Lepisosteus oculatus: one gene and its partners. The protein of the gene in region 3 binds, or shares a complex with, the protein of the main gene of each other region. Links are inferred from orthologs where the notes say so. Each region holds a gene or a part of one and is shown on either strand. Other genes may lie near its edges. The genes, in order: cript, small nuclear ribonucleoprotein Sm D3, sf3b2 and snrpg.

Region 1 (7,478 bases), on a different chromosome or scaffold from region 3:
TTCACATTACATTAGGCTTTCCAGTGACTAGAGAGCAGGAAGGGCCACATCATATCACAGTACGTGGGAGCTCTTGCCCTCGCCTGAAGCAGGGACCGGGGTTTGCAACAAATAGCAAAGTTTTAATTTCCATAACATGAAGGGAGTCATAGCTGTATAAGAAGCTTAATATGAGGTAAAGGGGTTTGTAATCAACATGATGTTCTGTTCCACACCCTTAAGTTATTGCGTAGGACTAAAATATGAGGAGCAAGAAGTCAATTCATGGAAATATTGTGTAGGAAAATGTACCTTAAGGGCAAAAAAAGTATTTAAATGTCAACATGTATACCTTTAGCGTGATTCACCAAGGTACACTGACCTTGTCACTATATATTTCCAACTAAAAGTTAAAGCTCTGGAGATGCCAAAGTTTCAGCACGGAAATAGCACCATCTAGAGGCTAGAATGGAAACCCATGTCTGCGTGCAGGAAAGAAAATTCAAATAACAAATCCTGAGAATTTGAAAAAATACAACTTTTAAGTTAAATTATTTTATTTTCCAGATCAACTATCTTCCCTTTAAAAGCTTTTATTACAAACGAGTTTTTATCTTAGTAGCACAACGTAAACTGATAAGTCCTTATACATTAACAGTCTTGTAAGTCAGTAATCACTAAAAAATTACAGAACTACAGATAGCAAAAAATATTTATAGAAACCCAGTTACATTGCAATTGTAACCATTACACTTAACTGTAATAAAACAAAAACGTCAATATGTAATTTGTAATGAATAAAGCATGATCACTATTACAGATATGAAAGGATACCATCCCACCCACTAGAGAGCCGCTGTCATCAACTTGTGTATATTGCTGTTTTACAGGATATATTTAAGTATGGCCTAAAGTAAAGCTAATTTAACATTTGGATTCAAAGAGCAGAAGAGAACTACCTTTGAATATAGAAACAAGGCTTTAAAAAATACACTGCGGAGACAGCTTTGTCTGTAGTGGTTCTTCATGGCTTTGAGCGTCTGTTTTCCATGAGCAAGCCCAGCATGCAAGAACCAGCTCAATGCAGCTCTGTCTCTAGAATAACCAGTGCTGGACCAGTGCAGTCCCCGTAACTCCTTTCATAAACAATTTGATGGATTGACTACACTGAGGTCTGCTTGTAGTTTTTGGTTTCCAAAACCTTCTTGCCACACATTGCACAGATGCCTAGGAAAACAAGAGACTTATTAGAATCCACAGGTTTTCACACTTCCACAACAAACATTTACTAGGATGACTTGCATACCTGCTTCATTCCTAAATTACTACAATGCCCAGATAAGTAGCTGGATTCTTACCTTTTTTGTAGGCACACCCTTGACAATAGTTTGAACCAGGCTGGTGGACTGAGCTTTTACAAATCCTGCAGATCGCAAATCTGGACTTTCCATAGGGGTCAAACCTAAAACAAAAGATAGGAAAACATGATAAAGACACATAAGGTTAGCTTGTATACTACTAAGGTAAATCTACAAATAAACAGCACATATGCCAACAATGAAAGTCTGGATTTAGTAGTTCTGTGCTAAAGACTCAAAGAATCCTGAGCACACAGTTTTATGAGACAAGCTATCTTGATGGTTTCTCCACTGGTGTCAGCAAGACTATTGATATTATTGGCGCACATAATGGTAGCTGCATTTTACCCGGGGTGCTGCACTTCAGCAGTAAATCAAGTGGGTCACCTTCTATATGTGACAAATTTTGGAATGAAAAGCACTATGTACATTTCCATAGAAAATACAAATGTGAACCATTTTTTTTAATGAAAAGATGCACCTACCTTCCTTTTTTAGAAGTAAGCGCCTTGTTTTCATTCAGCTTGCGGCCACCACTTTCTGCAATTGTAAGAAACAAAGGTGGGTTGATTAATGCCCAACCTTTCTAATGTAATGATGTTTTAGGCTACTCCCCATTATTCGTGGAGCACACATCTTGTTCCAGAAGATGCTGAACACTCCATTATCAACTGCAAAAGTGATCTACGTCTTGAAAACCCTTAGAAAGTGACCGAAAACCTAGATCTGGCAGTACTCAGAATGTATCCGAGTTCAAGAAGGGGAACGGACACATCCAGATCCAGAAATTGATCAGTGTTGGAAAAGGATCTCTGTTAACTGCGTATCTGAGTTCAAAGGCTGCACTTCAAATCTCCGTTTCTTATTTGCTTACGTGTAGCGTAGTGCATTAGTTAGGGTACCTGTTGTGTTTCTGGCTCCATCTTTCCATGTATCCGGAGTGATGACACGGCCGAGTTTCTTTTCACCTGCAAATTACAAAGAGTTTCAGCCAGAGATGAACAGCGGAGTCGCCGTCTCTTCGTTTAAGATCACACGACAGGACGTCTGCCAGTAATACCTACAAACGCCTAGTACAAAGGAAACTAAAAGAAATGAAGAAAATAGTATACAATCGCAATTGCCTCACATTAAAAATGAATGGATATACTGGTTATGTGACTATTTTTTCTAGCATTTCCACTGCGGCACAAATTGTAAACAGCGAAGCAACGTCCCAGTGTTGGCGATTATTACGATTATCACGGAGAGATGATCAGTGCGACCTGTATTCAGAGACAACTATAACAAAGTCACGAAACCACTTACACTTCTCACAAACCATCTTTCTCCTCTCTTAAAACGAGAAAAAAAGAAAATCAATCCACCTACAGCGGAGAAAAGGAAAACAAACTATCTGCTCTGCCGGTGCCAGAGCCGTGTGACAACTTCCCGTCTCGTCCTTCCGTTCAGAAAGAGTGCGTACTGTATACTTCAAACTAAATAAATGCACCTCGACTGTAATTAACCCCCTCTTTGCGTCATTCCTGTACCACCGGCTTTACGACGTCCACTGACATGGCAGAAATAAACTACTGAACTCTACATATTATAGTAAACACATAAAATATATGGGTGTTTATGCGTCTCAAAAAGAATTTACTCCTTCCGGCTAGTCTGCCGTAATATTTTGCATTTTCCCAGGGTTTGTGGGTAGTGACCTTAGACTTTATCCCCGCCCACTCGGATGGCGATTGGGAATCGGTATGAAGCAACTGTTTGATTGGGCAAAATGTACGTCAAGCAAAACACGCCGTGACACCCCCCACGTCCTTGTTTACGCTGTACTGACCTTGCGCAGAATATATTTCATACGGAAATCAGGTATGAATGATACTGTTGTGGGCTATTGTCGTGCATTTGTGCACCACGACTAAAAAAATGGAAAAACACCTTTTAGAGGCTACGTGTTCTTGAGAATAATTCAGATTTTTTTCATTCGCTTGATGTATATAGTAGTTTATTATTTTTTTCCAACGTTGAATGATATTATATAGCAACAATCCGTCCATCTAGAGGGTAAGCCATTTCTTAAAATATAATTACGATCCTATTTTCTCTTGTTGATTATTCAGTTTTATAGGCATAATGTCTGCAGTTTCTTACGCAGTGCATAGTTTTTTGCAGTTTTAAGTTTAATTGGAACGGTAGAGATTTGATACTTGATGATTTACCGGGGCTTGGAAGAATGCTAAAGATGAAATATAACTTTTGAAAAGTTGCAGCTCCTGTAGGAGACGCCAGACCTCTACAAAAGGGTTCCCCGTGTATGTTAAGTTTCTGAACACTGTGACGGTTTGAGACAGAAACTTGTAGTCAGGTTTGCCTTGGCCGCCCGTCTTCAGCTACTCTTGGCTGATCACAAATCCCTCAACGGATATAGACGTGGTGTAAAGCAGTTTTATTCTTTTTTACATTAAAATTGATTTTGAAAATGTCCGATCTTTTGTACCAACGACATTTAAATATTTTTACCTTTTCTACGCAGATTTAGATAAACTAAGGTACAAACACTTAGCTAATATACAGAACCTGGTGATTGCTTGTATACAGTAAGAATTCGCAGCTCCGAAAACCCAAGTTGAGTTTGTGTCCTCTGCACTGGAAGTTTTCTTTACGCAGCTGTATTAGAGTTTTAAGGAAATAATAATTTCTGACAAAATTGAGAACACAGATGGAACTGAAATCAGGTGACCACGTGTCTTCTTGAGTACAGATAGCCAACACTATACAGAGGCCTTTGTCAGCTGTTTTTGGATGTTACTATTGAGTGTTGTACCTTAGCAAGCAGTCTTAAACTCCTGATATTCCCCAGACCTGAACTGATTTAAGTATCCTGAAGTTGGTAGTATTGCGTGCTTGTTTTCCAGCCTGGAATCACCTAGGATCACCATGAAGGATATTGAGATCAAGGGAATGATTTCTGCCCATACCATCATGGCAGCTTCTGTCCTGATGGCCACAGTACTGCCCCTTCTGTTTGTGGATGGGTTTTCAGTCTATGGCACACACCTTGTGTGGCTGTATTCTGTCTCTGGAGCTGTGGCTGCTGTTAACATCACTGTCTATTGGCTGCTGGGCATCAGTCCACCATCTAAGAAGAATACTCTGAGTTACAAGGTGAGGTCTGAGGGAGACTTTCTTCTCTTTGCAGAATCAGCCTGCTTTCACAGGTATTGCACAACCCAATACAACTTTTAAATGTTTTCAGTTATCTTTTTAAAGTACCTTTAATTCAGTTAATGCAGTTTAATTTTAAAATGGAAGTAACACTAGAATAACTGGTATATATGAATCTAGAGATTAACTATATGAATAAAAATACTCTGCACTTATAGTTGATATAGGGACTAGAAGCTTTGAGTGGTTTTCTGTATGCTTGTCCATTGAATTGCATTGGTCTCCACATATATCATTTTGTGGTAACCGAGCCAGCAAACACTATAAAGATATAGTGGGTAATTATTAAACCTGTTTGGTCTTATCCATAGGTGTCTAAAGCCTTCAGGTCCTGCCTGTATTTCATATTATCCTGCTTCCTGTTCCACACAGTTGTTGTCCTGTATGGAGCACCTTTGCTGGAGTAAGTACTTAACAACAAGTCACTAGGAATAGTTTGTCCTGTTACTAAAATGCTCTGCCTGTTCATGTTTCACATCAGGACATATGAGTCAAATAGTCAGTGATGTTTTTGAAAGTCTTTCTCTTGTTTCATTGCATCCTGCTGGTGTGACTGAGATTTGTTTAGGAAAAGTAATTGCTGAGGTCTGAAGTGCCCCACCGGATCCCAGCTTGAAACTAATCCAAACCCTTTTAGAGTGTCTTAAATATTGTCTGAGCAGCGGGTGTAATATTCCTGACTGAATTGACACACATTCCTGGACCAAGAGCAGGGTGTTTTACCCACAAATCATAGCACTTTGCATAAGTGAAATAAAGACCTATTTTCTTGCAAGGACAGGGTGTGCCTTGCTAGGATATGTGTTCTCTTTTCCAGGTCTGCGCTTGAAACCTTTTCCTTTGCTGTCCTGCTGTCCACATTCACCACCCTGCGCTGTCTCTGCATCCTGGGGCCTAACGTCCAGGCCTGGATTCGTGTTTTCAGTCGGGATGGGTGCGTCTCTTATTCTGACTTTCGCACCGCCTGTTTCTGCAGGGGAAGTACCGTTTTCCGGAGTATGCAGAAAGCAGTCCCTTTTGTTACTCACAATCAGATAAATCAGTTTGAGAGCTTAGAAGTGGAGGAGCTTATGTGCATAAATAGGCTGAACTTGCATGAGCATGTCAGAATTTCTATGAAGTATTTTTCAGAATAATATTAAGTGTTTTTATATAAGTCATTGGGCTTATATATAGTAAACAGTACAATTTACTGTAACTGTAGGACCTTTAGTGTCCTACCTTCTGTAGAATACAACAAAACCTATCCACAGGGCGAGAAGAGTCCATTTCTTTCTGAGTGTAATGTCACTGGCAGTTTCTTGTTGGTGTGCAGGAGCTAATGAAGGGAGGAATCCTCGTCGTGTTTTCTTTTTACCTTCAGTACTGACGGCTTTGTAACACGAATGACGTATGCACGGTATATATCATTCAGGAAGAGTCCATATAGCCTCTCTGCATGGGACTGCTGGAGTGCTGACATTAATACTTACAGAACATGGCCTACTGTGAAGTGGTGTGCAGATAAGCTTAGTTCCTGGATTGACATATGTGATGAGTACATACTCATTTTAGTATTATAATATAAGACTGTAGTGTGTTTTTCATTTATCTCATCAATGTGAAATAAGAAATTAATATTTTGCAAAAAGTAGTGTGGCTGTGTGTCATTTTTAAATCTACCACTAGGGGGAATTCTAATGCCACGATTGTTTCTTTACCCTAAGTCCATTAACTTGATTATTTTCTTCCTCTAAAACCTGAAGATAACAGTTTCACAGAATTTTCTTAGATGACTTAGCGTAAATGAGAACAATGAAAAACTAGATTGATTGCATAACAGGCAAGACTGGAAAGCAGTGTGGGGTTGTGTTGAAATGCCACTTGTCCTAGTAAGAGGAAATGGTTATCAAGAACCTGTTTGGGATCTTACTGCAAGTGAAGCGCTGGCACTTGTAAATTTGTTTCAGTGGTTTCTGTGGAAAATGGTTTTGGGGAAGGAGAATACAAAATGTCATGACTACCATTTCCCCACTCAGACAAGAGCTTTTTAAGGAATAGTTCTGCATTATTTAAGGCAATGGTTTTCTGAGAGGATGGTATATCATATAGTTCAGTAAGGTTGGTTTGAGATGAAAGGCACAATACACAATACACAATATTGTAGTTTAGGATTTTGTTTAATTTTCTGTATCCTTATCTTTTTTTAAAACTTTTTATTTTTTCTGCATTTTTTCAAAAGGGGCTTAAGACTAAGGAAACATCATTAAAATGTATTAATTTGAACTTAGGCTTTAGGTGCTCCAAATCTTAAAAGCTGAAGTTTAAAAATCAATAGAGCTACTTATCAAGCTGCTGACGGCAGTGTGGTATTTTTTGTCCGGTTAGGCCTAGCTGCCAGTCAGAGCTACTTAAACTGATTCTTTAGCTAGAATGGAGAGAAGCAGAGATGTACTGATTGGCTGATTGAGTACTTCAAAGTGAAGCACCGCTGCTTGACTTTAATTTCTCCTTGTTGTGAGGTTTCAGGGAAAGCTGCAGCAGGCAGTAGAGAAGAGGTCCGTCTTCACTCCTCTTTCCTGGATTTACCGCATTTCTACTCTGCTCAAAACATATTTTGATGCTATTTAACATTTATTTTCTCAGCACAGATCAGCTTTGAAGCACAATTTTCTTACTACTCCAAAATTTCACTTTTACATAAGTATGTGAATAATTACTCTCACCCGCCGAGAGCTTCTGTAAAGGGCGGGTTGGATGACTCCAGCTGAAGTGGTGTGAACAGTTAAGAACGTGTTGAGGGGAAGCTGGGGCAGCTCTGGCCCAGTGTGTTGCCTGCTGTTTACCGCACTTTCTGGAAAGGGTTCTAGTTGTCCTTGACTTTGCAGTTTCCTCCCTCTCATCCCAGATGGCTGTGGTCACCTGACAGATCTGGTTCACAGT
Region 2 (7,822 bases), on a different chromosome or scaffold from region 3:
CCTCCTCAAAGTTACTTACGCTGGTATAACACACTCCTGCAAAATACACAAGGAATTTTTTTGTCACTGAAAGCAAATTTCCTTGGATGCAGTCTGTGTTTCAGAATGCATGGAATACATTCCTGCAGTCCTTCAAAACCATGATCTTTCAGAAAGACATTTCTTTTGCTCTGCTATAATGGAACTATTTCATATTCCAGTTCTTACCACTAATCAAATCAAATCTTCTTTAAGATCACAGGAAATGAATTTTTAAATGTTATCTTCCATAAGTATCCCACTCTGGCATCAAAGCAGAGTATGTGTTCATACTCAGAAATTTTAGAGAGGATTGGATTTATAAAAGTTCTGTACTACTTCTAAGAAACACAGGAAAGACAAAGGTCTTGTCATTCAAAACGGCAATTCAATGAAGACCATGACACATCGGAACAACTTTTTTTCCCCCACAGTTGTTCCTTACTGTGGCACTCTTTTTCCATCTTCCCAAAGGAATCACTTCAAGGGGAACTCACTGTCTGAGTAAGCTGGGTTGTTGTAGAAGACAGAGTTGGTGGCAAGGTTGAAGCCACACACCACCACAAAGTGCCCCTGGTAGTCAGGCTTCCTGCAGAAGCACTTCTGGCCCACAGGAAGGAAGCAGCAATACTTGACAGGGGTGGAGCAGAGGTCACAGACCAGGAGCACAGCATTCACCAGCACTATCGCCACGTGCCCTTGAGCCAAGTGATTCTGGATGTCCTGCATCGTCACAGAGCTGTAGAAGATCAAAATCACTCCTGTTACAGGCTAAATCAACTAAAAAAAATAAAAGCATTGATATTTTCTTTAAACCGGACATATGTACTCTAAATCTTGGGAAGCTCTTCTACAATTCATTCCACATGCTCTCTTAACACCTTCACCTAATCTCTTATGGCTTGAATTAGTCCAAATTTCCACTGTATTCAGACGTTCGCCTTTGTTAATCTCAGAGAACCTGCAGGACCAGGGGAACATACAGTTTTCTTGCTTTAATCCCACTTCAGAATAAGGTGAAATGTGAGAAGAACATCAGCACTCACTATCCGGACGTTTACCATGTCTAACATTAACATTAACAGAGTTTAACGTAGAAGTCATTTTCAGGCTTGTAGTTTTATTCATAAGACTGTGGTTAAAGTTCTATTAGGGAATGGCCATTAAAAGAAAAAACACCAAAACAAGTTGGAAGCAGGTGGCACAAGCAGACAGAAGAGTGCATGTTGTAAATGTCATTGTTTCTCTGACATTTGCAGGTGTCTTGGAGATGCTAAGTAGACAAATGAAAATTCTATTTTCCTGCTGAAAGCAAGAACACAGCAGATGTAAAAAAAGGAAAGCAAAAGGACACAAAATGATAAAATACCTACCGTTTCTTCACCACCACCCCATTGCTCTCTGCCTTGTTAAAGAGCTCATTCACTCTGTCCTCTTCGGTGTCAAAATGCTTTTTGTAAAACGACTGGGGAATCAGAGGGAAGCTAGTCAATTACTTACATGTAAGGTTAAGTATTACATGACTGTTCACTTTTCGCAGGTGTGTCAAGGAAAAGGACCATAAAATTAAAGAACTCATGGAACTTTCCAAAGGAATAGAGGTGGTTATCCATCTGTCCTACCAAAATACTACTTTGGGCATGAATAATCTGGCCGTATAAAACTACTCTCTTAATTCAACTGGCAAAAAAATGTCACTTCTCGCCTGCTCCACCTGGGGCTGCTGGCTTAGAATGGCTGCAGTGTGTCTCTCAGGTGGGGGCTACACTTCCGTAGCAGAGACGTCAGTCCCCTCCTATATATATATAAAGAACTTTGATATCCTTTTGTAATGAAAACATCTATATAAGTGTATTAAATTCTTATTAAAGCACAATAAACATTTGTGACAACACCTAATGGCCCACTGCACAGTAAATGAACCAGTTGAGCTATTTGGCCAGAGTGCCTACAGGTAAACTGGATCCACTACCTAACCGAGTTACCTTAGCACGAAATATTCCAACCTATAGAGGTCTTTAGCCCTATAGTTCACACCAGTCGGACTGTCAGGAAAGTGCAGAGTTGGCCAGTACCTGGTTTCTGTAGCCCTTATCTACCCCAAGGGTCTGGGTGCAGAACTGATGTCTGACTCCCAGGTGGCTCATGAGGTAGGCCAGGTCAATAGTCCATACACTTTCGGTCAGCTTGAGCTCCCAGCAGGCATTCTGAAACTCCTCCTCACTCACTGGGTGGAGGTACCTACACAGTAACGTCAGGGGGCAATAAAACACAGCACTGCTGCAACCACTTCCTTATGTTCCAATAGCAGTTTGACCCATTGCAAGCTTTTAAAACTGCATTGTTAGTTCACAAAACTACAGCTGCATGCCACACATTCGCACTAAGAGCCACGACTCTAGCTATGCGATGAGCTAGATTTCCAGTTAGGCAACATAAAAAAAAACAATCATCATAAATTAAGAACAATAATCATTTTCATCACCACATTTTATGTTGTAAATGCTACTAAAGTTCCAGTCCATTCTGAATGTAGTCTACAAAATGTTTTTCACTGTCTTACTTACTTCAAAACCATTCTGGAACAAGCCAGCCCACAGTCCCAGTGATAGAGCTGCCGAATGGCAGGTACTTTCAGTTGAACAACACCATCTAAACAAATAAAAGGGCCTTGACGTGAATATACTCAGATATTACACTTCTGGTGTGTTACATAAAAACATAGCGATAAAATAAACACTGAAAACATGCAACCCTATATTGGACAAAGTGGTAAGAAATTGGATGGAGGAAATGTTAAATGCACCTACTGTAGCAACTAAACTGCCAAACAAGCAATATGGTCAATTGTTTCCTTTTATGCAGTAATACATATATAATTAGGGATCGTCAATGATTTCAAATTAGAAACTGTCTAATCCAGTGATTCCTAACCCTGGTACAGGAGAAACACTGCTTTTTTTTTCCTTCCAACTGAGCTCTATATCTCCATATCTCTATCTGACTTAACAGATCTGCATGCTTTTTTAGCAATTTATTTATCTTGTTTCTTTGTCTTGAATGCCACACATACCCTACTGTAAGGGTACTGTTTCCAACAACTACAGCACACAAACCTGTATGCAGTCTGTTCTCAAATTGCCGTCTAACTAATCACTGGTTGATAATGAACAGACACAGGTGGGAGTGAGAGTTTATCAGACATTCCCAGAATAGGCAGTTTTATTTTTCTTCTGCAGGAAGGTACAGTGAGTACTTCTCAGGCAGCACACACGCACGACACTCAGAAGTCGGTACGTGCTTGATACCAATTACGAATCCCATTTGGTATTTTAAGAGCTGAAAGCACATTTCCAAATGCGCACCGAAAACAGAACTGAAATCAACTACCTGCGATAAAATACACGGCTGGAGAAAAAAACACGGATATGAGCTACTCTTATCACTGAACTAAACTGTAAACACGCTGTACGGAGCTGTGTCAATCGGGATAGAGGGCTCAGTCACGGATGTTAACTCCATTTACGTGACCGGTGAATAAATGTACCTACCACGCTACTGTACGACCCAGGGTTTATTTACAGTTAATTCGATAGTGGTTCGTGTAGTGTTTTAACTTGTTTTACACGCAGGACAAGAAGTGCATAGCAGGTTGAAGGACATCTGTGCTCAGCCGCAAAGCGAACTTCTGAAACCAGTCACACCACTGCTCCTCTTAATTTATTTTCAGATGCCTGACGAGAAACAGTCGTGTACATTAAAACACTTAACACCTGTGGTAACAGGGCCCGCAACACCTCGACAGCACGACGGGACCTTTCCTGGAGCCTCGAAATCGTTGAATATGTTAATTTCCAACAAGGGCTGATTTAAAACAAAAACAAAGCGGGACCATCCCAAATCATCCAGTTCGTCGACACGGAGTACTACGCTAACGCTCCATCTTACCTGTCATTCTGTGCTGCTTGTTTTTTATATAATGCTGTTAAGTCCTTTTCACTTTCTGCGCACGATCTGGCGATTTTCAGAGAGGAAACCGTCTCAGCACCACGGCGCTGGGTCTGTTCGCCGGACATGAACATTAGGAGCCACAGTTACGACCCCGGTCCGGGCCGCCTCTCTCCGGCACTACAGTGCTGATCTGCTGGGCACCTCTGCCTGCATCTCCGCCGTACGCAATTTCCTCTTGCAAAACGAGGACTTCCACAGACGCTCATTTGAAAACCGCTGCGCCTACAGCGCCCTCTAAACACAGTCAAGGAGGGACGAGAACTAGAATAAATAGGCTGTTCTTATAATATATTGTACTCCAGTGTACTACTCGTGACAGTAGATGGTGAGATATTCGGGGCGATCACAAATTATTGGGGAGCAACTTACAACTGGCTATTTCTTTTTTTATTTTAGTTTTGTTGGGTAGCTGCTTAGAGCCATTCTTAAACGTCACAAAATCAAGTGCATCTTCAACTTGTTTTTCTTTCCTTTTCAGAAAAAGAAGGGGTTTGGAATAAACCCAGCAAGTGACGAAGAAGAAGGTTTAATGAAATAATAAGAACTTATACATTGATGAGAGTTACTGTATATCTTTACAAATGTTTTTCGTAGCACAGTAAAAAAAAGTTGGAGCAACAGAACATGTTTCCTCCTTGTGTGGTATTTAGTAAAAAGAAAGCCCGTTATACTTATTTTCATTCTTGAGAAATTTTAGAAGACGTTATGTTGGTTAAACTACAAATCCCAACATTCATCATAACGACGGAAAAACCCAAATCGAACCGGAAGCACTTTGTGACTTCCTTTAACGCGTTGCATTGTGGGGTATTGGAAACGAACAAAATCGTACTCCGAGGCGGTCAGGTTTTAAACACGCTGCCGTTCACGATTAAAACCGGGAAACGGTTAAATAAGAGAAGGAATTCAATATTTGCTGTGAACAGGTAAGAATTTTATGTTTCATTACAAGTTGTAAGATATTACCTTTCTTTTAACGAAGGGAATCAAGATTATGAGTTCGTTGAAGGTAGGAAATGAACTTGATTTGAATGGCGTGGAAATACTTTACGTTAGAAAACAAATATACCTTCTCCTGAAGTATTTTCTCCCAGATGCAAAACAAAAACTTTTTTTTGCTAATGAGATGGGTTTTTTTTTTCCCATAGCTAAAGCTACCCAAGTCTCTTTGGGCTTTGCCATAACACAAAGGCCGTGTCGAAGTAGAGACCGTTTGTTCTCATTTACTGCTTTGAAGAATATGTTTCGAAAGTGCAGAATATCTGCTTCGAAGATTGTTTTAGTGAATGTTGCTTAACGCACTGGTCTATTATCTATAAAAAGAGTTGCCTAATTTTTTTTTTAATCTTGTGAAGTGCACATTATCACATCTATTTTGTAAAATGTATGCTAACAAACTGTCAAAAAAGTTAAAAGTACTAGTGAATTTTGCTCTGGGGTCCATCTTGATCACTGATAGTATATACCAGGTTAAATCAGATTGCTCTTTAGACTCGAACTAAACATGCGTACCTATGAGTAAATGCATCCAGTATCCAGGTTTTGATTCCTTTGTGAACAGCTAATGGCCTGCTTGGTCCATACAAACCCTTTACAATTGTCTAAATTCAAAATCTAATACTCGTTACTGAATGCATTTTAATCTTGTTACCTAATAACAGGCATTTACAAAAACGTGTGATGTGTAACCTTAACTTGTGTACAAACTGAGCTGCAGGACAGAATCTAATTTATCGGGCATGGGGTAGAGATGCTGGCTTTTTCCAAGGTATCCAGAAGCATGGTTTTTGTGTGTTCTAGCCTAATATTGCTCACCTGGAATTATTTGCCTCCCTGTCATGGTGTTTGTTTAGAGGTCCCAGTTAAAATGTCCATCGGAGTGCCTATCAAAGTTCTGCATGAGGCCGAGGGTCACATCGTCACCTGTGAAACCAACACGGGCGAAGTGTACAGAGGAAAGCTTATAGAAGCAGAGGACAATATGAACTGCCAGGTAAGCCTGATAAGTGGTTGAGATGAGAAATGCCAGGGGTCACAAAACCAAGCAAACCTTTTAGGCCAGTGACCCCATATAATTTCACACATTATGTGCTTTTGATGGATTCTTTGAATTAATCTCATGCAGAGTTGTGCACATGCAAGTGAATTTAAAGCTGCTTTTTTTTGTCTTCCAGATGTCTAATATCACTGTGACATACAGAGATGGACGTGTGGCGCAGTTGGAACAGGTCTATATCCGGGGCAGCAAGATAAGATTTCTAATCCTGCCGGACATGTTGAAAAACGCCCCCATGTTGAAGAGTATGAAGAACAAAAACCAGGGCTCTGGAGCTGGAAGAGGGAAGGCTGCCATTCTCAAAGCTCAAGGTATGTTGTTCACCAGACTCCAATTCAGAGGACAGTTCTCCAGGTGGTGTGTTTCTGTAGAGGACTTCAGCGTGATCAGCAGAACCCTACAGAAATATCAAAGTTATTGGTTTTTATTAAATTTATTCCTTAGCGTCCATCGTACTGATGACTGTCTTGAAATAAAGTAACGCCAGCTAGAAAGTGCTCTTCGATCACCACCTGCTGACGTGTGCATCGTTACTTGGTTCTACACCTACGTAATGACCTGGGTTAAAACTCCTTAGGTTTAGGTGCATGGGTTAAGGCCTTCATTAGAAGTAAGACATTCGTATCAGGTCACGTGGCTGCTAATAAGTTACTGATCTGAGGGGCCTGTCATTTCTTGAACGATGGAACTTATTCCAGAGCAGCAGTATTGTTGGTAATCTGTTGATCGGCATTGCCAGTTAGTGCAGCTTGTTTGCAATTATAGGGTGATTAACACGTACTGTATATTGTGTCCACTTTTTTCTTTTTAAGTGGCTGCGAGAGGAAGAGGCCGCGGGGGAATGGGAAGAGGAAATATTTTCCAGAAGAGACGATAACCCTCAATGTGCACTTCATGGCCTTTTCTTACTGTACAGTTTTTTTAAAAGGTTGGGTGATCATTCACGATGTTGTCTGTTAAAAGGCAAATCATTTTTGATTTTTTTTTTCTGGCAAGTTTTTTAGGTGCTCAATAAAAATAGGTATAATGTCCAGTGTTTGTGCAGCTCCTTTACTTTCACATTTTAACAAATCAATATTCAGTCAGTACTGTCTTTAACATTTGATTTACTGCAGTCGAATCTACATGAAAGGGGCAGCTGTTTATGTAATTCAACATATTGATCCTCATAACAGCCTTTAGGTTTGGTCTAAAGATGATTTTCAACTTCTGTCACTTTTGTACTGACTTATAATGAAGTTTGTATTGTAAGAAATGTCGGGTTTCCATTCAGTCTTGTTTCAAAAACATAATTCACCTTATGAGCTTCTCCAGAATTGATGCATTGATAAAATAATGTCTAGTGGACAACATAGTCTGGTTTTGTTTTAATAGTAATTCATATCTTTGGCCGTTAAATAAAAAACTTATGTTGAACATGAGTGCAGCTGTGCCTTTTTTTTTACTCTTCAGGTTTCATACTTTGTTCCCAGTGATCTGCTGGTGTTTCAGTTTTGTGTAATCTAAATCTGGCAGCTTACACATCTTCCACTCTAGTGTCTCTGAAGCTCCCTCTTAATTCAGCTGAAGCCATTTCTGACTCCCCCACCTGATCTGCTCTGTAGAGGAGCTGTTGGTGCACATCTACCACTTCTCTCAGGTGGGTGCTGCTCTTTGGCAGTGGGTGAAGTGCACATTCAAATATGCAGAGTGTGTTGAGGTGAAATGTTATAGAAATCCAATACATTAGAATATAGA
Region 3 (7,789 bases):
TGACCCCGTCCTTGGCGATGCCCCGGAGACCGGCCCCGCCCTCGACGATGCCCCGGAGACCAGCCCCCCCCTCAGCGACGCAGGGAGCAGGGACGCGGACAGGGCCCCCGCCGCGAGGAGGAGGAGGAGGAGGAGGAATCCGCGGAGACAGGGCCAGGAGGAGCGATCTTCCTCCCGGGAGTAAGTAACCCTCTGTGATCTGTTTGCTGCGGGAAAAGGAAATATCTGGGACTGCGGTCCTCACTCCCTGCTCCCAGAAAGTCCCCGGCCTGCTGCTTTTACAGGGATAAAGACTGGAGCCCATGTGACTCTCCAGGACAGGGAGTGATCTGGGATAATGGCACAGAGCTACACGGGAATATAGTGGGGTCAGCACAGGGGGTCACACTGCACTGGGGTGTCCAGCGGGGTCAGGGCTGGGGGTCACACTGCACTGGGGTGTCCAGCGGGGTCAGTGCTGGGGGTCACACTGCACTGGGGTGTCCAGCGGGGTCAGGGCTGGGGGTCACACGGCACTGAGGTGTCCAGTGGGGTCAGTGCTGGGGATGACCTCTCTTCATGGTTTTAGGGACCTTGGACAGCCCCGAGACGGTGCGCTCACAGACTCCAGTGCAGAATGCAGGAGCCACGAGAGGCCCCGGGTTCGAGGCACCCCAGGCAGGGCCAGGCCGTCAGAGACGAGCACCAGTGAGCACGCTTCTGAGACCGAGAGCGGAGCGCCGCCCCCTGCTGGAGACACAGGGGAACTGCAGCCGCCGGACGCCGGGGCTGGGGGGCGGGCGGGGGCACAGACGGAGGGGAGCGACCCAGGCGAGAGCGAGGCGGGGTCAGAGGTCAGCGGCGGGGCGGGGAGCCCGAGCCATCCCGGGAGAGGGGGGGAGATGGGGGGCGTCACCAGCGAGCGAGAGGGGGCGTCCGCAGAGGAGGGGTCCAACGGCAGCCCGAGTGAAGCAGAGACCCCGGACCGCCAGGAGGGGGGCCGCACGGACACAGGGGCGCCAGACGAGCAGGAAGATCCGGAGAGCGACGGAGAGGAAGAGGAGGAGGAAGAGGAGCGAGACAGCGAGGGGACAGACTCCGAAGACGGAATCGTCAGCTCCCCGCTGGGCGTCAGGTGCGAGCTCGGCCCGGACCACCCCGGGTTGCCCATTTCCCACTTTCCTCCCTACTATCTGTCAGAGGCAGCTAGCGCCCCCATCTGGTTCAGCACCGCCAGTGGCCCAGTGCCTCCTCCGCTCCCAGTCCACTCCGTGCCAGGTTTTCCCAGGAGTCGGCTCCCTGGTGTTGTTGGTGAATTGATTAATCCAACCATCCGTTTACCAATCGCTTTCCACACACGCACACACACCCACCAGGGCCAGTCCATCACAGGGCACGCACACACACACACACAAAAGGGCCAGTTTCCCAAAAGAAGCCAATTCACCTCCCAGCATGTCTGTAGACTGTGGCAGGAAACTGGAGCACCTGGAGGAAACCCACTGAAGCCCAGAGAGAACATGCAAGCTCAACACAGCTCCAGAATCGAACCCAGGGCCGCCCTCATTCATAAATCAATTACACAATTAAGACCCTGAGCCACGGCCCCTGTACTGTGGGGCATCCGGGTTTCGCGATCCCCTGCCCGTGTCCAGCTGTTGACCTTTCGGTGGGTCGATGTTGTGTTTTTCCTGAGAGGCGTGCAGGTCAAGCAGCAGGGATATGACCTGGGAAGATCCTGCTGGGCCAGGGGCAGAGAGCTCCTGCCCCCGGCCGGATCCACAGCTCACCTGGGCTCTTCTCCACCACAGCAGGGCGGCGCCAGAGAGCAGCGAGGGCCGCCGGGAGACGGGCGCGGACGCCGGCGGCCTGACGGGTGGGTCCCTCACGGCCACGGATTGATGAGATTGATGCGATTGATGAGATTGATGACTTGATTGATTGATGACTGATGATTGATGATTGATGACCGAAGATTGATGATTGATGACATGATCTACCGATGCCGTCTGGAAGTGTGAGGGTGCAGGTGCACTGAAAATGTTAACAATCTAAAACAACCTTTAATGCCACCTGTTTTTAAAGATCGACCTCGCGGTGAACAATTAAACCCCTGATTGGTCAAATTAACCAATTTAGGGATTATTGAGGACTGAGGACCTACGTCCTCTTCAGTCCTCAAGGACTGCGGTTCTCTTAATGGAATAAACCACTGGCTTGGCCATCAGGAGCTGACAGGCGTGTCCAAACTCTAGAAACAGGGGGACCTGTAGGACACACTGGGCTGGGGCTCCCCAGGAACAGGGCTGGAGACCCCTGATTCAGGGGGACCTGTAGGACACACTGGGCTGGGGCTCCCCAGGAATAGGGCTGGAGACCCCTGATTCAGGGGGACCTGTAGGACACACTGGGCTGGGGCTCCCCAGGACCAGGGCTGGAGACCCCTGATTTAAAAAAAAACAAGAATATTCACCACCAATGAGAAACCCTTTGGATCTTGTCCAGCTGTTTCTTCGACGACATGGCTGGGTAGCACTGTGTGTAACGTAGTCACTCCTGTTGTGATCCCAGGATCTCTGCTTCCTGTAAGAAGCCCGGGCATCGTCTTCAACACAAGACACAGGAGGAGGGGGAGAGGGCGGGCTGGGCCGTCCTGCTAGGTCTCTCCTTAGCAAAATAGCGTCCTTGCACTGAGCTGGTTGCTCTGTTTGTCACCCGACCCAGGGTCTGTGGTCAACTCCGAGGGCATCGCGGGTCAGCAGGGGAGCTCCGAGGAGGAGGAGGAAGAGGAGGAGGAGGAGGAGGAGGTGGGTGGGGGCGCCTCCAACGACATCAAGAGCAAAGGGGACGACGACGACGACGACGACGACAATGATGATGATGATGATGATGATGATGAAGATGACAGCGATGAGATCGAAGCTCTCCTGGCTCCGCAGGAAGATCCCAAAACGTCTTCTGGTCAGACGTGAGTGTCCTTCCAGCGACAGTCCACCTCCACGTCCACCAGCCTCTCGCTTCCACTGGCACTGGTGTGTCAAGTGTGTGTTAAAAGCGATGTTAGAATGAGGATTTACGTGCAGAATTCAGTTCCAGAGATCCTTCTGTGTGGAGTCTGTATGCCCCCCCCCCTCCCTGATCGTTCCCGCCAGCGCCCGCCTCAGTATCCGGGCGAATGAGCTCATCGAGGCAGCTCAGAGTCACTGACAGGGGCTTTCTCCTGGCAGAGCCGAGGAAGAGGAGGAGAGCCGCTCCGGGAGGAAGGAGGGGTGCCCGCCGCCTGTCCCTGCCGCAGAGGAGCGCCCCGGGGGCACGCCGGACAGGTGCGCGTGCGCTGGGGCTGGGGGTCTGACCGCACAGGAACGCCCTCTCCCGATCGAATCCGTCTGAAAGGCCACGGGCCATTTCAAGAGGTGTCTGCAGTCTGGGGAGGGGGGCCCCGCCAGCCCTGGTTTTGGGGAGACAGGTGTCTTGTGTCTCTCTCACAGATGGGGGTGCTGTAGCTCACAGTAACGGGGAGCTGCCAGGTCCCACCAGCACCAGGGAATGAGAGGCAAGTGAACACCTGTTCACCACCATCCACATGTACCATGTTTTACCCTGATCTCACTGGGCTCTACTGCGCTGTACTGTGTTTTTACCCCTATCTCACCGGGCTCTACTGCGCTGTACTGCGTTTTTACCCTGATCTCACTGGGCTCCACTGCGCTGTACAGTGCTTTTACCCTGATCTCACTGGGCTCCACTGCGCTGTACTGTGCTTTTACCCTGATCTCACTGGGCTCTACTGCGCTGTACTGTGCTTTTACCCTGGTCTCACTGGGCTCTACTGCGCTGTACTGTGCTTTTACCCTGATCTCACTGGGCTCTACTGCGCTGTACTGTGCTTTTACCCTGGTCTCACTGGGCTCTACTGCGCTGTACTGTGCTTTTACCCTGATCTCACTGGGCTCTACTGCGCTGTACTGTGCTTTTACCCTGGTCTCACTGGGCTCTACTGCGCTGTACAGAGGACCACAGTGAAGTTCCTGAAGTCAGTCAGTAGAATGATCTCTAAGGGATGTTTCTTTCTCTTGCACTTTCAGGGTGAATCACAGCGGCACTCTCACTGCCCAGGGCAAAGGTCAGTTCTGCTCAGTGGTAGCTTGCTCTTCCCCCCGAATGAGCCCTAGCTGTCCGCCCTGGCTGGTCAGTGACCGTGTGTCCGTCTCCTGCAGCGCTCCGGAGGGGCTCCGCGGACAGCAGCGATCCGGGAACCGAGGCTCCCGGTACCCCGAAGCCCGGCTCCGCGCCCCCGGAAGTGCCCGACGAGTTTGACGATTTTTTCGACTGAGAGAGAGGTGGAGAACACTGCCGCAGCACCCCGAAACGGGTCGGTCCTGGTCCTGGGGAGGCCGCCAGGAGCAGATGGTCCAGGACAGGACCGGACCAGACAGACCCTGCGGGGGCTCTGGAATGAGGAAGGGTCAAGCTGTTCAGAATAAACATCTGTCCACAAAAACTGCTTCAGTCAGATCCTTCGTTAGTTAATCAGCAAGATGGATGTATAGAACTGCGGTTGGGTGTTTCTGTGCATTGATGCTGTGTGTCAGTGTGTGAGGCCGTGCTGTGTGCGCGTCAGCATGTCTATGTGTCAGTGTGCGTGTATGTGTGTCAGCGTGTGTGCGACAGCGTGTCGCCGGGTGTTAAAAGATGCTTGTGACAGTCCCATTCTTCATCAGTGTGTCCGTGTGCTAAAAGATTATAACATATTTATCAGTATTACAAATCTCTAGGTTTTTTTGGGGGGTCGCTTTCATGTAGGTAGAAGAACTGCATTTGATCTGTTCGGAAAGTGACTCGGTTTTGTGGCCGCCTGCTAGAACTACAAATCCCACAAAGCCGCAGGACCGCCGTTTCCGGTCGCAGTTCCCATGATCCTCTGAGAGCGCTCGTTTGGTTTCCGTTCCTGCCTCGCTTGTTGTTTCTGTGATCCAGCCATGGCGACTGATGTACCGCCCGGCACCGAGCAAGCTCCGCCGGACCTCGGCAGCTCCGTTGCTGCCCTGAACACATGGAGCGTCCAGGAGCTTCAAGCCAAGCTAGCTGAGATTGGCGCCCCCACAATGGGTAAGTGTAAAGCGCGGGCTCCGTGGAGGGAGGGAAAAGGCCGAGGCCTTGCGCCGAAGCCTCGGGCTCGAGTGGTCAGTCCACCCGAGCAGGCCGGCCCCAGTGGCGGTGGGCGGGCGTCTGGGGAACCCGGCGTTCAGGTTGCTCGGTTCATTTCTGTGGCGTACCCTGTATCTTGTACAGAACCGCCAGAAACACCTCATTTCATTCAGGTTTGGCGCCGCGGAGTCTCCCGGTGAGCCTTTAGTTCATGAAAGGGGGCTGTGATATAAGATTGCTTTTAAAGAAATTGCTTTCGTTAGTTGCTTTAAACACCGGAGGCTTAACAGACCATCCGTTGATCATCTCTGTAGCTATTTATATATATTTTACGAGTCCTGCAGTTTCCCAGCTCAGCTGCAGAGCCAAGTGAACCCCAGACCTCGGCCCTGCAGTTTCCCAGCTCAGGTGAACCCCAGACCTCAGCCCTGCAGTTTCCCAGCTCAGGTGAACCCCAGACCTCAGCCCTGCAGTTTCCCAGCTCAGGTGAACCCCAGACCTCAGTCCTGCAGTTTCCCAGCTCAGGTGAACCCCAGACCTCAGTCCTGCAGTTTCCCGGCTCAGGTGAACCCCAGACCTCAGTCCTGCAGTTTCCCGGCTCAGGTGAACCCCAGACCTCAGCCCTGCAGTTACCCGGCTCAGCCCCAGAGCCAGTAGAAACCCAGGTCTCAGTGCATTACATACTCTATCAGAATTTAGGATTTGTTACTTAGACAGAACCAGTACACTCTCTCAGTCAGCCTGGCGGAATTGGGGGTACTTGTGGTTATCTTGTGCTGTGGCTGGGTCTTTGCTCAGTGACAGTTCTGAAGTCTGGACTGATGTTGTCTCTGTCCTCAGGCCCCAGAGAGGAGATGATTGACAGACTGAAGGCCTATGCGATGCAGGTGAGTATGTTCTGTCAGAAGTGATTGATACAGTGACCTGTCTCTCTCTCTCAGTTCAATTCAAGATGCTTTGTTGGCATGACCAATGAATACATCCGTGCTGCCAAAGCAAATACAATTAACATAAAATCTATGGATGTTTTCAGGAATTTCACAATACAGACCCATCTAAATAGTTACATGCAAACATCTGGAGCATTACTGGAAGACAGGCTAACTGTTCCTCAGGCTGGGACAGGAGGTCACACACTGTATTATTATTGAGAGACAGGCTCACTGTCTGTTCCTCGGGCTGGGACAGGAGATCACACACTGTATTATTATTATTATTGAGAGACAGGCTCACTGTCTGTTCCTCAGGCTGGGACAGATCACACACTGTATTATTATTATTATTGAGAGACAGGCTCACTGTCTGTTCCTCAGGCTGGGACAGGAGATCACACACTGTAGTATTATTATTATTATTATTATTATTATTATTATTATTATTGAGAGACAGGCTCACTGTTCCTCAGGCTGGGACAGGAGATCACATACTGGGCTACCAGTTCAACTGAGTTCCCTCCTCCCTCTCCCAGTAGGATTGGAAGCTATTGTGATTCTGGTAGGTGTAGGAACTCTGGGATTAGATTTGTAAATTTCTGGAAGAATGTTTCTCTAATCCCGGAGTATCTGTCACAGTGCAGTAGGAAGTGCACCTCTGTCGGTGTGGCTTGGGTCAGGGAGCCTCAGGACCAGCTGGCTCAGGGGGCTCTGTTTTGGGCTCAGCTCTTGGCTCAGCCGGGGTTTGTGGTGGTAGGAGTTTTGATTGGTGTTTTTTAGGTGTAGTCAATACTTTAATACTCTTTACTGTATGTTTATCAATAGTGGGTACTGTCTTAATTCGGCCCTGCACCCGTTGTTAGGTTTCTACAGATCTCCATGTGCAGAGTTTTTGTGGGGTGTTTGTCCCATTGAGTGTACTCCTGGTCTGTGAGGGGACCCCACACTTCACTGCTGTATAGGGCAGTGGGTTGGATTACACTTTGAAATATTTGGAGCCAGATTCTTGTTGGTGGGTTGGTGTTGAAGAGCCTCCTTCTTATTGCGTAGAAAGCCCTGAGTGCCTTCTCCCTCAGTGCCTTCACTGCCAGGTCAAAACTCCCGGAAGAGCTGATAGTCAGACCGAGGTGTGTGTAGCTGGATGTGTGCTTCAGTGTGTTGTTGTTGAGTGAGAAGTGGTTCTTGTTTCCCTGAGGCCTGGCTTTCTTGTGAAAAACCATGACTCTGGTCTTGTCCAGATTGACTGTTAGTGCCCAGGTCTGACAGTCCTGCTCCAGCAGTGCCAGGCTCTGCTGTTCTGGGTCTAGATGGGCTGGCAGTGCCCAGGTCTGACAGTCCTGCTCCAGCAGTGCCAGGCTCTGCTGTTCTGGGTCCAGATGGGCTGGCAGTGCCCAGGTCTGACAGTCCTGCTCCAGCAGCGCCAGGCTCTGCTGCAGCCCCTCCCCCTGACGTTGTGTCTGCCGTTCCAGACGGGGATGATGCTGACCAAGCCCACGCTGCAGGCCGGTGACGGAGATGTGGTGGCCCCCCTGCCGGCCCAGGTGAGTGTGCCCAGGGTGCGGGAGGGACCCAAGCAGGGAATTTTTAAGCGACTCCCCGATAATAATGTTGCCCTTTCTGCCCCCCCCCCACAGATGCCCGGCCTGCCCATGCCCCCCATGCCTCTCCCCCTGCCCCCTCCCCCTCCCCCGGGGATGTTCCCGGCCCTGGGGATGATGGGGGTGCCCCCG
Region 4 (7,208 bases), on a different chromosome or scaffold from region 3:
AATGCAAGTGAGTGTCTGGTTGACGGGACGCGGGACACAGTACTGGTGTCTGCATTTCCCCGTAAAGAATACGCGACCCTCGTTGCATAACATTTTGATACATTTGGGGGTTTCGCAGCTTCGTGCCCTGATTGACAAGATGGTGTTTTTTATACAGGCATGTTAATTCTGGTCTGCTTCTGCTTCAAGCGATTTCACAGAAGGTTGCAGACGTGAAATTCGCAGGGCCAGATGGTGTTAGTGAAGGGTTCGTGTGAGGGCGATTAAAAACTCTGTGATGGGAACTGGAGGGAAACGGTTTATTTCTGAACAGTCACATTTACACCTGCTGCCCGATCTCTCCTTTTTTTTCCCTAGTCACGTTATCCCGTAACCCATCCGAACGCACAGAAAGTTATATTAACGCAAACCTGTCTGCGAAATGAAATGGAGAATTCCTTTTAACTCAAAAATACTTTTGACTGCGTAACTGAATAAAACAACAATCACAGGACCTAAGCTTTGACTGACAGGATTGATACAGGATTCTACCGCTGGTAACAGCTGGAATTGTTCAACCTGTAGTACCACGGGAGTGTCTGCGTTTCCTGACTGAGACTACCTGTAAAACTGTGTTTATTACTGTGGGAGGCTTAGGAGTGTCTCATTCGACTTCATTCGGATGCGGTGTGAAGTGTGGGGTGCTGTCACGGTAAACGGGGGCTCGGAGAAAGATCCTCCGTTGTCCGTTTCTCTCGTGGGCTTCATGTGGTGTTTGATGCCCCGCGTTCTGGCTGCCTGTCCTCCCCAGGGGCTCATGTTCCAGTGCAGCGCGCGGTGCTGCGAGCGCGCCAGCGACTCCATGACCCAGGTGCACCAGTGCATCGAGCGCTGCCACGCCCCCCTGGCCCAGGCGCAGAGCCTGGTCACCACCGAGCTGGAGAGGTTCCAGGTGAGACTTTCCCAGGAGGCAACGTGGGTGTGGAGGTCGCTCAGCGCTGCCCCCTACAGCCCGGGCTTGACCGCACAGCCTGGAGTTTTTAATATATAGGGAACTGAGAGACAGAACTCTTTAATGGAGCACCGCACATGACTGAAACTTGCATTGATCTCTAATCATATAATAATGTCATGAAGTCTGCAGAAGGTAGAGCAATGCAGAAAAGAGCACTGAGGAGTCCAGCTTTGTCACAGTGCAACAGACTGTAATAAGCTTTGCAAAAACAAAGGCTTTCATTGCATTATGTAGTATTTGCTAATGTTAAACAGAATAATAATTCAACTTTATTTGTCATTCTACTTACACGGGTGCATAGTATGGTGAAAAGTGTTTCTCATGAGTCTCTCAGGTGCAGTATATAAATAGAACAGCAGACAAGACAAGAGACAGAAATACAATAACAGTGTAAACAACAGTATGGTGCCATTGCAAAATTGTCAAAAACTGTGCAAATACGCAGAGAAAAGTATACAAACAGGACAAAAACAGTGCAAAAGTAAAACGGTGAACAGTGCAAAAATAATACGGTTATTAATAGTACAACTTGTACAGTTTTAAGTACAATTCCAGTTTACATTCAGTTGTCGTGTGTGTAGTGGTGTAGGAGTACTGTCATTGTGGGTACAGGAAGTAGTGAGGAGAGGTCACATTTTTCTGAGTGTAATTTCAGGTGTTGCAAACCCCTTCCTGCTCTGAGCTGTCCTGCTGAAAGCTGCTCTGTCTCTCTCTGTCCCGCCTCAGGACCGGCTGGCCCGCTGCACCATGCACTGCAACGACAAGGCCAAGGACGCGTTCGAGTCGGGCGCGAAGGAGGCGGCGGTGCGCGGGCAGCTGGAGCGCTGCGTGGGCGGCTGTGTGGACGAGCACCTGAGCCTGCTGCCCAGCGTGACGCGCCGGCTGAAGGACAGCCTGGCCTCCATCAAGCAGTGAGGACGGGGGCGCTGGGAGCCGGCCCGGGGGCCATCTGGGCCTGCAGCCGACAGCGAGGCCAGCAGGCACGGAGTGGGGACACGGACTGGCCGGCGGCGCGGGCCTTCGGCACAGACAGAGGGCGCGGACCGCCCGGCGGACTGACCCCTGTCCTCCCGAGGACAGGTGGAGTGGGACACCCTGGCTGTGTCAGACCGTGAAGACAAGCGGATGAAACTTGGGACTCCCCGTGCATAGCAGTTTGATCCAGTCCGGGTTTTACCACCTGCCGTCTCTAGTAAACATAGAAAATGAAATCTAGACAGTTTTCATTTTCTCGTATATTCATGTCTGTCTATGTTTTGCAGACTGGAATTAAAGTAGAAAGGAGAGAAGGAGTATGGTAAAACTTGAAATGGATCTTATTGGTACCTCTGTGTTCTTCGTTTGTCAGGAGAAAACCATGAGCAGCTGTGAACCACTAGAGCCAAGTTTCTGCACAACTCTCTACCTCCTCCTGCAGGGGGTGCAATTGTGGCTTCAGTTTTACACACTGTGGAATTTGCTGCTGACAGCACTGTTTCCCTTTTTGTATTGCAACAAATCAAAATCGGGAATAAAATCAGTTTTCTCTGTATTCTCTTAAAAAGAGAGACGGTGTGTCTGTCTTCAGGCTTGGATTGTGCCTGTTTGTCTGTATTTGGGAGGGTGTGACCAGAACCGTGTGGCTGCTGAGTGAAGATTATTATTTCCACCCTCACAGTCTCTCTGAACACAAGTCACTGCAATTTGAGCCCTATGAGCTGAGCTCAGAGCTATTGGCATGGTGGGGTCGAGACCAGAAAGCCAGTGTCACATGAGTGTGTTCGATGCATGTTAGCATTAAAAGTATATAATCCCTTTGAGTGTCCATAAGGAATGAGTAGTGGATAGTTCCACTTTTAACAGTAACAAAAAGTAATGTTTCATCTGTGGATCCTTCTTCAGCTGTGTGTCTAGATATGTAACTAGTTGTTTAATAACTGTAACCCTAGAGGAATGTGTGGAATTTCTCTATGCAGAGTGTTAAATTCATATAATTTCTAGAACAACCCCATCGGAGAGGGTCAAGTGAGAAGCTTGCTGATAAGGGTTCAGTGTTCTACTTGTGTTTATTAAAGCCCCACCACACCACTGGATTTAGTTGTCTGCATTTAAGGGGAGGTCACTAAATGAAGTTGAGATCCATTCACTGCTAGATGGTTGAGCTGTTTACCACCAGCACCTTCACAGAGATCCCTTGTCCAAGCCCAGAGAATGGCCAATCTCCGCTGGCCAGCGAGGAATGAAGACGCGTATGAGTGCTGGTTTGTGTTGGTATGCTGCAGTGTGAAATTCAGATCTTCCATGCAGTGCTGTAATTACTTATTTAACAACTACCTTCATTAACAAGTTCTATACATACCAAAATATTAGCAATTAATCTACTTTGCATAAAACATTATGCACAATAATTGACAGAGCCTAGTTAATGTGAGGTTTGAAAGGTCTTTAGAAGGTGTCATAGTTATTATGGAATCCCACATACAGTATGTGCTTTCAGACACATCCTTGTCTGTGACCTCTGACCTCTTCTAAAGTTCATATGCCAAACTGGTATATCTCCTGAAAGAGTGAAGTTTTCACAAAATGTCCTTGCCCATGCCCTTTGACCCTTCCTAAAGATCTGATGTACAAACATTCATTCTTGGTTAATATATTTAGAATTATGGGCAGCATATAAACATCCTTCTTTGTTCTGCCAAAAAATTGCTAGCCAGTAACTTCTACTCTCTTTATTTTCATTATGCTTTCTGGTTTTCCAATCTCTATGAAATCAATAATCAATCACTTCTATTGAGCTTTCAGTGAGAGTGTGCTATCTGGAGAACTCTGTTACATCCGCACCTAGATTTGCTACCTCTTGCTACAGTTTGCCCTAACTGGACCACCGGTTAAGCTACAGCGCGGCACTTGCTGTCTTTAGGAAAGCTCTTTTTAAATAATATGATTTTTATAGCAGTATTGCCTGCCCAATTATTCATTAGGCTTGTTGCCTGTTCGGCATGAACAGGTATTTATCGGTCAAGAAAATCTTTACAATCAATGCACCCATCGTGTTCTTGCTCGTTTGCAGGATAGTATTTCCAGTTTCAGGAGAGAATGCGCGTGAACTTGGGTTGCCGAGAGGAGGCGCAAATGGAAAGGGAATATTCAATTAAACGGCGTTGGAGTAGTGGCAGTGTTCGGGCGATTGTTGATGACGCATAATGTGAGCCGGAAGGTATGGTCGGACTTTTTTTATGGTAACGCGTTCGTCCTTTGTGGTGCAGCGTGCGTGGAGTTTGGCGGTGAAGTCGCTGAGAGCGCAGTGGTCTTGTTATTGAACGGATATAAAACTATAGCTTTCTACACGTAAACATGAGCAAAGCACACCCCCCCGAGTTGAAGAAGTAAGTATTTCTTGTTTTAGTCTCGTAGGGTCATTTGTGTCTTTCGTTTTTATCACGGTAGTTGTTGGATCTTGGGGGGGGTTGTACTTGGCTGAGATACAAACTTGAAATGTTTCGCCATTAAAACTAGATAAAATATTCTGAAGGGCTCCTGTAGTTCCGTGATATTTGGATCTGTTTCCAACCGTGGAGACGACGTTAATATTTCTCATAAAGAATTGTTAATACGTTTCCGACCTCGCTTCGTGAACCGAGTGCAAACGTTATCGTAACGTTTGGCTTCGAAAATAGTGTCCACACAGCGTTATACATCACAGCTTTCGGTACTGTGTATTTTCTAAAGCGTTTGTAACGTGAGATTAGATTGTTTACCCCGTAATATTAAAAATGCCGCGTTAACGATCCTGATAGGTCGTGAATGTATAAGCTTGTATACTTTTGCTTTAGAAAGATCGACCTGTGACGAAAGCTACCTCTGCAAACCACGATTATGCGCACCGAGAAAGTCCCACGAAAACTGATTGACTTGCGCGAGACTCGTAGAAAGTAACTCTAAAATAATAATAATAATGTAATGGGTTTAATTGGTTTTAAGGTTTTAAAACGTAATATTAAACAAGCTACAATTGTCAGTTGCAGAAATCATGGACGGACTTCCGGTTTTGCACCTTTAGTACTCTATGGTGGTAGATGAAAACTCGCGCCAAGCTGTAGATTGCAGGAGAGCGTGGAAAAGCCTGTTTACATTTTCATTGCATAGGTTGGGGACGCTATATAGGTCACTGAATAACAGATGTATAGCAGCTAGCTAAACGTGATCTTTTTTAAATATTATTGAGCCTCTTAAGATCGCCTTTAAGGTTCATTGCTTTGCTTAATCCAAAACAGAATCTGGAAGCGATGCCTTTAAAGGTTTGTGGAGGTTTAAGCGATAATGCTTTGTTAAATACAGGCAAACACGTCCAGTAGTGTTGTTTCTTGGGAGGGAAAATATTTAAAACAATACAGCTTGAGAAGTGTACAATTAAACCATTATTTGTGACATTACTTTCAGAATGTATGACCAACAATCACATACACATGAGCAAATGCTAAATTCCACAGAATATCAGTTACTTTTACTTACGGATGCTCCCAAACGTTATAAATACGGTCAGAGTAGGGAATGATAGCAGGTCAGTCTATATTAAACAAGTCTTGAAAATATGTCAATAATGTTAGCTTATGTTTCCTGCATAAGCTAACATTTTTCACATGTTGGTTTACATGATAAATCCAGCATGTTTTCTATAACATGCCACAGGTCGAATGATGTACAGACTTTGTAGAACATTTTTTTTTGTATTGAATCTAACAACTTTTTTTTTCCTTTTTGTCCAGGTTCATGGACAAGAAGTTGTCATGTGAGTATGTAGGGTTTCAGTTGCTGAACTGAGGTGTTTGGACCCCTCCCAGGAGAAACTTGATATGGTCTGATGAACTGTCCCTCACCATGTTCTCGACTGACAAGTGCATGTGTGATGCCATTGTAAAAGATTACAGCCATCAGTCCTCAGTTCCAATAGTGAATTGATCCATTACCCAGGTGTTAGTTGTATGACTTTCACATGGAAGGGTGGTGCTTCAGTCCTCCTGCAGAGTTCTGGGCAGTGCCAGTGACTCTATGCTATGCATACAGGCTGCACATGGTCACTATTAGTGACTTTAAATTGTTCCCATTTTTATTATCCACATCTTACATTTTATGATGACCCAAAACTGCACTAAGGTGAGATAGGAAGGACTTTTTCCAGTAAAAGCTCTGACTATTAACTAACAACAGTGAAACATCTAGCATGCAGAGAGGGCTAATGAAAAGCTAAGGGTTGCAAAGATGAGTACCAGTGATAGATTGAGAAAAATGGTTAAAAACATCCTCTCCTAAGATGTTTTTGCATGCACTGCTAATATCACCATCGTCCATGATGGGGATTACAGATGTGCACAAGTATAGACCTAGAGGAAAATGTGTCCTTTGCTGCCATAATGTTTCACATCCAAAAATTATCTTGGAATTTATGAAAGCTAAAACCATTTAAATTAAACCATATGCTTTAATATTTATAAAAGAACTAATCATCATTCTTGAAATATATACAAAAAAATTGTGTTTTTTGTTAACAGCAGGTATTTTTATTTTAAATAGGTATGTATAAATCAGTGGCTCTTCACCACTTAAAGACCTCTTCAATTGAGATTCAGCAGGCTGCATTAACATTGATTAAGCCAGTAACTAGTTCTATTAAACCAGGAGTCCAGGGGTGCTGGTGTCTTTGAGGGTTTTCAGTCTGCCTGGGCTCTTAGTGATCCTAAATGGCTCATTAATGGTTGAATTGGAGCAATTATACAGCTGTTGCAACCAGTTTTTGGTGGTGCTTTAAAAAGACCTGTAATACCAGCAGACACCCCTCAGGATCAGGACCTCCTATTAAACGTTTACAGTCCAAGTCAGATTGAAAACCCATAGTTCTCCAGGACTGAGATTGGATAGCCCCGTGTTAAACATGTAAAATAGGGGTGTCGAACTCCATTCCTGGAGGGCTTAGTCTCTTCTGGTTTCTGTTCCAATCTGAATAGTCAATTAAACAAGTTCATTATTTTCCTGGACATTCCTAAGAATTTTCTAACTGCCTTTTAGTATTGTTCACTCGTACCTTTCACAAAGGTAGGGTTACGTTCGAATGACCTCAGAGGCTGGTTAGAGGTGTTTCCACCCTGCAGTTTAATATTGGAGGATTCAGACAGCTGTGGGTGGAAGAACACGAACCAGAAGACACTGGCCCTGCAGGGGGCGAGTTGACTCCCCTGAT

What was found.
Region 1: sf3b2 (region 3) and cript share a complex: the UniProt entries of both Homo sapiens proteins name them as parts of the minor spliceosome. The link is inferred for Lepisosteus oculatus from reciprocal best matches to the Homo sapiens genes SF3B2 and CRIPT.
Region 2: sf3b2 (region 3) and small nuclear ribonucleoprotein Sm D3 share a complex: the UniProt entries of both Homo sapiens proteins name them as parts of the minor spliceosome. The link is inferred for Lepisosteus oculatus from reciprocal best matches to the Homo sapiens genes SF3B2 and SNRPD3.
Region 4: sf3b2 (region 3) and snrpg share a complex: the UniProt entries of both Homo sapiens proteins name them as parts of the minor spliceosome. The link is inferred for Lepisosteus oculatus from reciprocal best matches to the Homo sapiens genes SF3B2 and SNRPG.

What each region holds. Positions count from the first base shown.
Region 1 is NC_090712.1:13,353,786-13,361,263, forward strand, and holds cript (cysteine-rich PDZ-binding protein), read right to left. Parts: upstream 3,019-7,478; 5' UTR 2,662-3,018; coding exon 2,646-2,661; intron 2,306-2,645; coding exon 2,240-2,305; intron 1,878-2,239; coding exon 1,823-1,877; intron 1,442-1,822; coding exon 1,338-1,441; intron 1,207-1,337; coding exon 1,142-1,206; 3' UTR 519-1,141; downstream 1-518. Other genes in the region: pigf (phosphatidylinositol-glycan biosynthesis class F protein), read left to right, coding at 4,269-4,496, 4,868-4,959, 5,374-5,490. UniProt on the Homo sapiens protein: As a component of the minor spliceosome, involved in the splicing of U12-type introns in pre-mRNAs. Involved in the cytoskeletal anchoring of DLG4 in excitatory synapses.
Region 2 is NC_090717.1:9,777,540-9,785,361, reverse strand, and holds small nuclear ribonucleoprotein Sm D3, read left to right. Parts: upstream 1-4,809; 5' UTR 4,810-4,955; intron 4,956-5,882; 5' UTR 5,883-5,896; coding exon 5,897-6,022; intron 6,023-6,203; coding exon 6,204-6,396; intron 6,397-6,897; coding exon 6,898-6,962; 3' UTR 6,963-7,504; downstream 7,505-7,822. Other genes in the region: protein GUCD1, read right to left, coding at 1-36, 516-757, 1,392-1,483, 2,094-2,259, 2,586-2,670, 3,967-3,973. UniProt on the Homo sapiens protein: Plays a role in pre-mRNA splicing as a core component of the spliceosomal U1, U2, U4 and U5 small nuclear ribonucleoproteins (snRNPs), the building blocks of the spliceosome.
Region 3 is NC_090713.1:22,561,959-22,569,747, forward strand, and holds the start of sf3b2 (splicing factor 3B subunit 2), read left to right. Parts: upstream 1-4,787; 5' UTR 4,788-4,958; coding exon 4,959-5,088; intron 5,089-5,967; coding exon 5,968-6,014; intron 6,015-7,528; coding exon 7,529-7,600; intron 7,601-7,693; coding exon 7,694-7,789. Other genes in the region: collagen alpha-1(I) chain-like, read left to right, coding at 1-180, 569-1,114, 1,686-1,855, 2,704-2,947, 3,207-3,302, 4,065-4,102, 4,197-4,312. UniProt on the Homo sapiens protein: Component of the 17S U2 SnRNP complex of the spliceosome, a large ribonucleoprotein complex that removes introns from transcribed pre-mRNAs.
Region 4 is NC_090697.1:65,205,916-65,213,123, forward strand, and holds the start of snrpg (small nuclear ribonucleoprotein G), read left to right. Parts: upstream 1-4,208; 5' UTR 4,209-4,327; coding exon 4,328-4,359; intron 4,360-5,739; coding exon 5,740-5,762; intron 5,763-7,208. Other genes in the region: protein FAM136A, read left to right, coding at 1-7, 791-931, 1,721-1,909. UniProt on the Homo sapiens protein: Plays a role in pre-mRNA splicing as a core component of the spliceosomal U1, U2, U4 and U5 small nuclear ribonucleoproteins (snRNPs), the building blocks of the spliceosome.